2 linked regions of the Oryzias latipes genome follow. The protein of the gene in region 1 purifies or fractionates together with the protein of each later gene. This does not show direct contact. Links are inferred from orthologs where the notes say so. Each region holds a gene or a part of one and is shown in the gene's direction. Other genes may lie near its edges. The genes, in order: inositol polyphosphate 5-phosphatase K and gart.

Region 1 (3,811 bases):
CATGTGGTGTTGGACAATTTGTTGTTTTTCATTCTTCCGATCATTCAAACACAACATGAACGCAGCAATTCTCTAAGTTTGCGTTTTACACAAAGTACATCAAGCTATTGGTGCAATTAGCTCTAAAATGAGAACAGAAGGCATTGTTTTGAAATAAAAATTCAATAATGTTCTGTTTTAAAATGTATATAAATTTTAGATCTGAATGTTTCTGTCCAGATTCCATGTTATTTCTTTCTCTTATACAGTGGATTACCAAAACACTCCACGCACCTGCTCCCGGAGAAGGACTCCGGCCCTTCTATTGAATTTTAGAACCCTCTGAGGCCCGCGAGTCAAAAAGTCTGCCCTCCCCTGGTCTAGATGACTCACCTGATACCTGCTCATGCAGAAACTCTGAGTGAATCTAAACTGTGTCCTTACAGTTAAATATGATGAAGAAAAAGGAGGCGCTGCTACAGGAGTTTGAGGAGGGGCCGCTGGACTTCGCGCCCACCTACAAGTTTGACCTGAACTCTGATTCCTACGACAGCAGGTTAGAACTTCAGTGAACGTGATGGTCAGATCTCTGCTGTAACGATGCTTTGCCTTTGAGGGGCCAGCTTGTTCCTGGGGGGTGGGGCAACGTTGATGAGGAACTGGCTGAGGTAGGACGGGCAGCTGAGCTGGGTGGGGTGGGACTCATTCTGCCATGTACAGGTTTCTTGGTCCTCACAAATGTGACTCTAAAAGAGCAAAAGACAGAAATCATCGACCAATGTTGGATCATGTTTTGAGACCTTTGGTTTACTCTTCACCTGCTTCTCCTTCTTAGGTTCTACCAAACATGGTTTGGCTTTAAGTAAGACATTTCTGTGCACATTTATATGTTTGGTTGCTGTGAGCAACCACTAAACATCCCAGTAAGCATAACCCCTGTGTGGTCTTGGATTATAAGGTTTAACACCCCCTAATGCTTTCAGAACTGGATAAAGCTTTATTAACACGCTTGGTTCAAGACCTCATGACTCTGTGGAACACGTCTGACGTTTAAATTCAAAAGCAGGTTTTTGTTCAAGTCCCCTTTTACTGTTTCCTCGCATGTTGTGCTTCTTACCTCCATGTCATGTTGTCCCGTCATGCTTCTGTCCAGTAACACCATGTCAGAGAAGAAAGTTCACTGAACATTCAGCTGAACCTCCTCCACATCAAGAGCTTCTCAAGACTTTAAAAATCAGAATTTTAGCAACTGATTTACTTTTCTTCTGTCAAATAAACTCTGTAGCGGTAAGAAAAGAAAACCGGCCTGGACCGACAGGATTCTGTGGAGGATCCGACCTAAAGCCCCGCCCCCTGACGAGCAAGAAGAAGATGGTTCCAGGCCAGATGTCAAAAGGATCCGACAGCTTGAGGAGGATGAGGAGTTCCCTCTGAAGGTCAGACAGGAGCTGTACTCCAGCAGCATGGAGTTCAGCATCAGCGATCATAAGCCCGTCCTCGGCATCTTCTCTGTGGAGGTGAGACGCTCCGCCGTCCGGACGACGTCAATTTGTTTTGTAAATTATGTTTGAAATCTTTAAACTTTCAGTAACTGGAACCCTAAAGTCTGATTTATTATATTGTTATATTATATGTTGTTATATTAGCTCCACACTCAAATTCCAGCAGTTATATTATCTAAATCTTGCAAAACATTTATGTTTAACAATACTAACACACTTTTAAAATCACCAGTTACTCTTAACCACAGATATCAGATCTGTTGGTAGATTTATCTAAATAAGTGGTCCCCAACCCTGCAGACAGGTATGGGTGCAAAGCACAGTTGGTACCGGGCTACAGACAAAAAAAACACCTCCCACATTTTGTCCATCTTATTTCTAATCTGATTCTGAAGAAAGCTTTTATTTTGGAAAACTACTAGATTCTCTCCACCACAGCCGACTCATACTTGATGCATGTGAAGTCACTCAGTCACGTGTCAAAATCTATTCGCTTCTTTGTTAAAACAGCTGTGCCGACCGTAAAATTGAAAAACCTAAGCTAGCAAAGTTAATAAAAGACGAACGTATTTGGAAAGTTTCTTTTGGCAGAAAAGAGCCAGTGAGGAAACAGAAGAGAAGAGGCTTTGACTTCAAAATAAAAGAGAGCTGCATTTAGCAGACAAAAACCAGGAGTTTTTACGCCAGATCTGGATTTATTGTTCCTACACACCATAATAAAAATGCATATTAATATTCAGCAACCAGTTGCCTAATATTCAGAGGATGCTGCCAATAAAGTGGTTCAAACGGTGGATTCGTGTTTATAGTTATATTTAGAAAATACCAGTTTTAGTGACCATTTATTTTGTATTTATCCATCGCACCTTTAAAGTTTGTGTGGGTTTTTCGAGTCGAGGGAACCTAGAAGTAAAAAAACTGGACGTTCATTTCATCGTCGTACCGGCTGGTCCGTGAAAACGTTGTCTGACATTGAACCGGTCCGAGGCCAGAGAAAGGTTGGGTCCCACTGATCTAAAGTAAAAGGTATTCTGTTTCTACGCCCCTCTAGCTGAAGAAGAAGTTCGATACTCCTCTGGTGCGTTTGCAGACAGAAGGTGACTGGAGCGCAGATATCGACTCCATGATCCTGTACAGCCCCCTGCAACCATTTCCCTCCAGCAGCTGGGACTGGATTGGACTGTATAAGGTGACTTGTCTATCGGCAGCTGCTAAAGACGCCTTTGCAGGAGCAGATTCATGAGGTCTTTATGGGTTCCAGGTTGGGTTCAGCAGCGTCTCAGACTACATCACCTACACGTGGGTCAAAGACAACGAGGTGGCCTTCAACCAGGAAGTGATGCAGGTACCCGTCTGGAGATGGAGTTTGGGTCATTCACGTCTGCTGGAGCTTAATGAGTTTCTTCTTGCAGGTTTACATCAGTAAAGAGGAGATCCCTGTGAGGGGCGGGGACTGCGTGTTGTGTTACTTCAGCAGCATCCTGCAGTGCATTATCGGAGTGAGTGAGCCATTCAAGGTCAGTTAGCTGAAAACATTTATAAAGGTCCGTCCTCAGACAAAGCTGCAGGTCAGCTCTAGTGCTGTTCTTCTCCAGGTCCGGGAGTCCTGGGTGGCCACTGAGGAAGGTCTGCTGCCCGACAGGATCAACACACACGACCAAATCACGATGGACAAGGATCTTTGAGCCTGGACTTGATCACTAATCAGTGACGGGGTTCATGCATCATTTCAAGCTTTCAGTTACTCAGACAACTGAAGTTTCCAGAAATGTTTCATTGGACCTGAAGAAACCTCTTTTTCTCAGGATGGCTCTTCTGACCTTCGTGTTTTCCGTCATTCTGAACATTCACGTTGTCTCGGGTCTCACTTGTGAAAAATCAAGTTACTGTAATGTCTATAATTTATTAATATTGTGTGTTTTTTGTTGTTAGGAACAACTTAGAAGAAGGTTCGTGAAAGAACCTGTCACTCACAAACGTCGCATTCTCCTTCACCCCTAAGATCAGATCATCTTCAGTTAGCCTTTACGTAAAAACAGATTTACAAACATAAAAGGGAACAGCAGAAACTGGCAAAGCTCATCCACCATGTTTGAACTGCATCCATTCAAAGCCTCGTGGCCTTTTGCAGTGGAGGATGCAGATTTTCTGCTATCCCTGCCGGTCCACTGCTGTACATGACCCTTTCAAAGTAAAAGCAGTCTGATGCAGGAAACATTTTTATTCTCTTCCTGTTTATGGTGTTCTTTCAGCCAGAAAGCTGAACACAAACTTTACACGTTTTAGAAAGAAATTTTTACTATATATATTTAGATTATGAAATTTAGTTG
Region 2 (3,811 bases), on another chromosome or scaffold:
CCTTCACCTTTCCAGGTGCTGCTGCCGCTGCTGCACAGCGACCTTTATCAGGTCATCATGAACACCGTCAAGGGGAAGCTGGCCTCTAACGCCCCCGTGTGGCGGCAGGACGCCTCTGCGGTGACGGTGGTCCTGGCCAGCGCTGGATACCCCGGTTCCTACAGGAAGGGCGTGGAGATCTCAGGTGAGGCCGGCGTCCGGGGTCTGCTCTCAGGTGTCTGCAGGCTCCTCACGGCGCGTCCGTCCTGCAGGTTTGTCTCTGCTTCAGGACATGGGGCTGCAGGTTTTCCACGCCGGCACCGCTTTGAAGGAAGGGGGCGTGGTCTCCAGTGGCGGACGGGTCCTGACTGTCACGGCTGTGCGCCCAACCCTCGAGGCGGCTCTGCAGGCGGCCAGCCAGGGCGTGGCGACCATCGGCTTCCAGGGCGGCGTGTACCGGCGCGACATCGGCCACCGGGCCATCGCTTTCCTGAAGCGGCGCAGGTGAGCGAGCGCCATGTGGCGTCTGCGCATCAGGCGGTCCGTCTACAGCTCTGCTCTCCCACAGAGGCCTGACCTACAGGGACAGCGGGGTGGACGTCTCCGCAGGAAACCGGCTGGTGGACGCTATCAAGCCTCTGGCCAAAGCCACGGCGCGCCCCGGTAACGCAGGAGGAGCCGCCACTTCAGACCGCGTCTGCGTGGACGACTGACCCCTGTGTCTTTTCAGGATGTGACGCAGAACTCGGAGGCTTCGCCGGGCTCTTTGACCTGAAGGCCGCCGGCTTTGTGGACCCGATCCTGGTTTCTGGGACGGACGGAGTCGGGACTAAGCTGAAGGTCCGTCGCTGGAGCGCCATCCTGGCATTTTGGCGGCGGTCTAACCGTTTGGTGTGTTCAGGTGGCACAGGCGTGTGGGAAGCATGGAAGTTTGGGTCAGGACCTGGTGGCCATGTGTGTGAACGACGTCCTGGCTCAGGGCGCCGAGCCGCTCTTCTTCCTGGACTACTTCTCCTGTGGCCACCTGGACGTGGACGCGGCCGCCGCCGTAGTGGGCGGCATCGCCAAAGCGTGCGAGCTGGCCGGCTGCGCTCTGCTGGGTGAGAAGGCCCGGGTTGATCGCACCGCTCTAGGTTCTGGTTTGGGGTTCTAACGCTGTTCCGTCCTAGGCGGGGAGACGGCGGAAATGCCGGGCGTGTACGCTGAGGGAGAGTATGACCTGGCCGGGTTCTGCGTGGGCGCCGTGGAGCGTGGCGCTCTGCTGCCGCGGCTGCAGGAGATCGCAGAGGGAGACCTGCTGATCGGGGTGTCGTCCTCCGGGGTCCACAGCAACGGCTTCAGTCTGGTCCGCAAAGTTCTGGAGAGGGCCGACCTCGGCTACAGCTGCCCCGCCCCGTTTGGAGAACCGGGTCAGACCGTCGGTGAGTTCTGGTTTGTTAAGGTTCAAAGGTCAGGCTAAAAAATACAACGGAAGTATTTTCCAGTTCAAAGTTCAAATCAAGTTTTTATTCAAACACATGTCAGAAAAACTTTATTTAAAGTCGTCTTGTGGACGGTCTTCTGCTTCCAGGAGATGTTCTTCTGACCCCCACAAAGATCTACAGCCGCCTCCTCCTCCCCGTCCTCCGCAGCGGCGCCGTCAAAGCCTACGCCCACATCACTGGTGGGGGGCTGCTGGAGAACCTCCCCCGGGTTCTGCCTGAGAAGCTGGCGGCGGATCTAGGTGAGGAAGCTGAGGTTTTCCCGCGGTTTGGAGTCAGGAGCTCACTTCTTCTTCCTCCTCCTCTTCCTCAGACGCCACCAGGTGGAGCATCCCCGCCGTTTTCTCGTGGCTTTACAAAGAGGGGGGCCTGAGCGAGGAGGAGATGGCCCGCACGTTTAACTGTGGCTTGGGGGCGGTGCTGGTTGTGGCGCCCCCGGATGCTCAGCAGGTGCTGCGACAGCTCCAGGGGGAGGCGGCCTGGATCGTGGGGTCTCTGATTGACAGGCAGCCAGGTGAGACGGAGAACTTTGTGACTTCAGCCCACAGCTTCGCTTTTCCTAAAAGATTCTGGGTTGCAGGTTCTCAACCTGTGCTGGTCCGCAACCTGAACCAAAGCCTGACGAAGGCGGGACCAGCAGAACAAAACGATGGTTACCACGGCAACAGCAGCGCCCCGCCACAGAAGAAGACCAGAGTCGGCGTTCTCATTTCCGGCACAGGTGAGTCCGGCCACTAAGCGTCTTTCTTGGTGGAAGGTTTCTAGAAGATGACGGTTGTTGTTGTGCGGCGCAGGAACCAACCTTCAGGCGCTCATCGAACAGACCAGACGTGCGTCCAGCTCGGCGCAGATCGTGGTCGTTATTTCTAACAGACCAGGCGTCCAGGGACTGAAGAGGGCGGGGCTTGCTGGCATCCAGACACGGGTACGTTCATGTATAAAGTATATTTAACATGTGAATGTTGTGATGTCACTGGTTGTTGTCCTCCAGGTGGTCGACCACAAACTGTTTGGCAGCCGTGCAGAGTTTGACGGGACCATCGACCGCGTCCTGGAGGAGTTTGGCGTGGAGTTGGTGTGTCTGGCCGGATTCATGAGGATCCTCACTGGAACCTTTGTGAAGAAGTGGACAGGTGATGATCACTGACGTCTTGGATGGAGCTGTCACAGTCTACTTACTTCTGCTTCTGCTGCAGGTAAACTCCTGAACATCCACCCGTCGCTGCTGCCGTCCTTCAAAGGAGTGAACGCTCAGAAACAGGCGCTGGAGGCTGGCGTCCGCGTGGCGGGATGCACGGTGCACTTTGTGGCTGTAAGTACATATTTATTTATCACTGAACTCTAAGTAAACCTGTGATGAGGACAAAGACTGACCGTGTGTCCTGCAGGAGGAGGTGGACGCCGGCGCCATCGTCGTCCAGGAGGCGGTCCCTGTCCTTCCTGGAGACACAGAGGAGACGCTGTCAGAGAGGATCAGGGAGGCGGAGCATAGAGCCTTTCCTGCTGCCATGGAGCTGGTGTCCAGTGGTTCTGTGAAGTTAGGAGGAGATGGACAAATCCTCTGGAAAAGCTGAAGACCTGGACGGACGGTCCTTTAATGTGAACCGTGTAGTTTACCTGATAGACTTGACTGTAACATTCCCAATAAAGATCCTGCTGAGGATGATGGAGATGTTTGTGTGGATTCTGTACGAAGCTACAGTCCTGGAAGACAAATCTCACCTTAAGGACCTTCCAGGTCAGATGTTTACCTTGAGCCACATCTGGATTTTCCAACCCTGGTGGCTCCATCACACCAGCCTTTAATCAGCATAATCACCTGTTTACGCTGATAATAGACAGGTGTGATGGAGCGCCAGCTTTAAGAAACTCACCGACCGCAGAGACGCCGTCTTTATACCTGAGAACCGGAGCAGAAGGTTAGTTGTGGTTCAAAGAAAGACAACATGACCTGAAAGTGTCTAAAAACTGTAGGAAAATGACAAAGATGCATCACTTTATACTGAATAACTTCAGTTCCAGTGTTCACATTCTGTAAGTCTTGAACCGTTTTATTCAATGACCCAGTGGATGCAGCAGCTTCTGACACTTTACGTTCCATCAAAGCTGCTTTTCTCTGGGAGAAAATCCACTGGAGAAAACGGTTAAAGAGTAACTGAAGAACGTGAACACTGGCGCTGTAACTTAACGCCTCACAGACACGTTTAGATTTATTTTAAACGCCACATGTGACCAAACTGAAATCAAAATCTCATAGGAACATTTTACAAAAACTTTATGAATCTATTGCACTCTGATGATTGGACAGTTTATTTTATTTAATTATATAACTTTTTTTTAAATAAATCGTT

The links.
Region 2: the proteins of inositol polyphosphate 5-phosphatase K (region 1) and gart purify together in Homo sapiens (co-immunoprecipitation; 3 studies listed by BioGRID and IntAct, counting the BioPlex papers as one, with this or other methods). This does not show direct contact. The link is inferred for Oryzias latipes from reciprocal best matches to the Homo sapiens genes INPP5K and GART.

What each region holds. Positions count from the first base shown.
Region 1 is NC_019871.2:19,602,291-19,606,101, reverse strand, and holds part of inositol polyphosphate 5-phosphatase K, read left to right. Parts: intron 1-425; coding exon 426-535; intron 536-814; coding exon 815-841; intron 842-1,264; coding exon 1,265-1,496; intron 1,497-2,532; coding exon 2,533-2,670; intron 2,671-2,742; coding exon 2,743-2,826; intron 2,827-2,893; coding exon 2,894-2,998; intron 2,999-3,076; coding exon 3,077-3,166; 3' UTR 3,167-3,811. UniProt on the Homo sapiens protein: Inositol 5-phosphatase which acts on inositol 1,4,5-trisphosphate, inositol 1,3,4,5-tetrakisphosphate, phosphatidylinositol 4,5-bisphosphate and phosphatidylinositol 3,4,5-trisphosphate.
Region 2 is NC_019860.2:23,313,677-23,317,487, reverse strand, and holds the end of gart (trifunctional purine biosynthetic protein adenosine-3), read left to right. Parts: intron 1-15; coding exon 16-184; intron 185-251; coding exon 252-483; intron 484-547; coding exon 548-642; intron 643-709; coding exon 710-819; intron 820-880; coding exon 881-1,079; intron 1,080-1,148; coding exon 1,149-1,400; intron 1,401-1,463; exon of another isoform or gene 1,464-1,549; coding exon 1,550-1,702; exon of another isoform or gene 1,703-1,773; coding exon 1,774-2,181; exon of another isoform or gene 2,182-2,254; coding exon 2,255-2,385; exon of another isoform or gene 2,386-2,451; coding exon 2,452-2,593; intron 2,594-2,639; exon of another isoform or gene 2,640-2,656; coding exon 2,657-2,772; intron 2,773-2,834; exon of another isoform or gene 2,835-2,848; coding exon 2,849-3,034; 3' UTR 3,035-3,126; downstream 3,127-3,811. UniProt on the Homo sapiens protein: Trifunctional enzyme that catalyzes three distinct reactions as part of the 'de novo' inosine monophosphate biosynthetic pathway.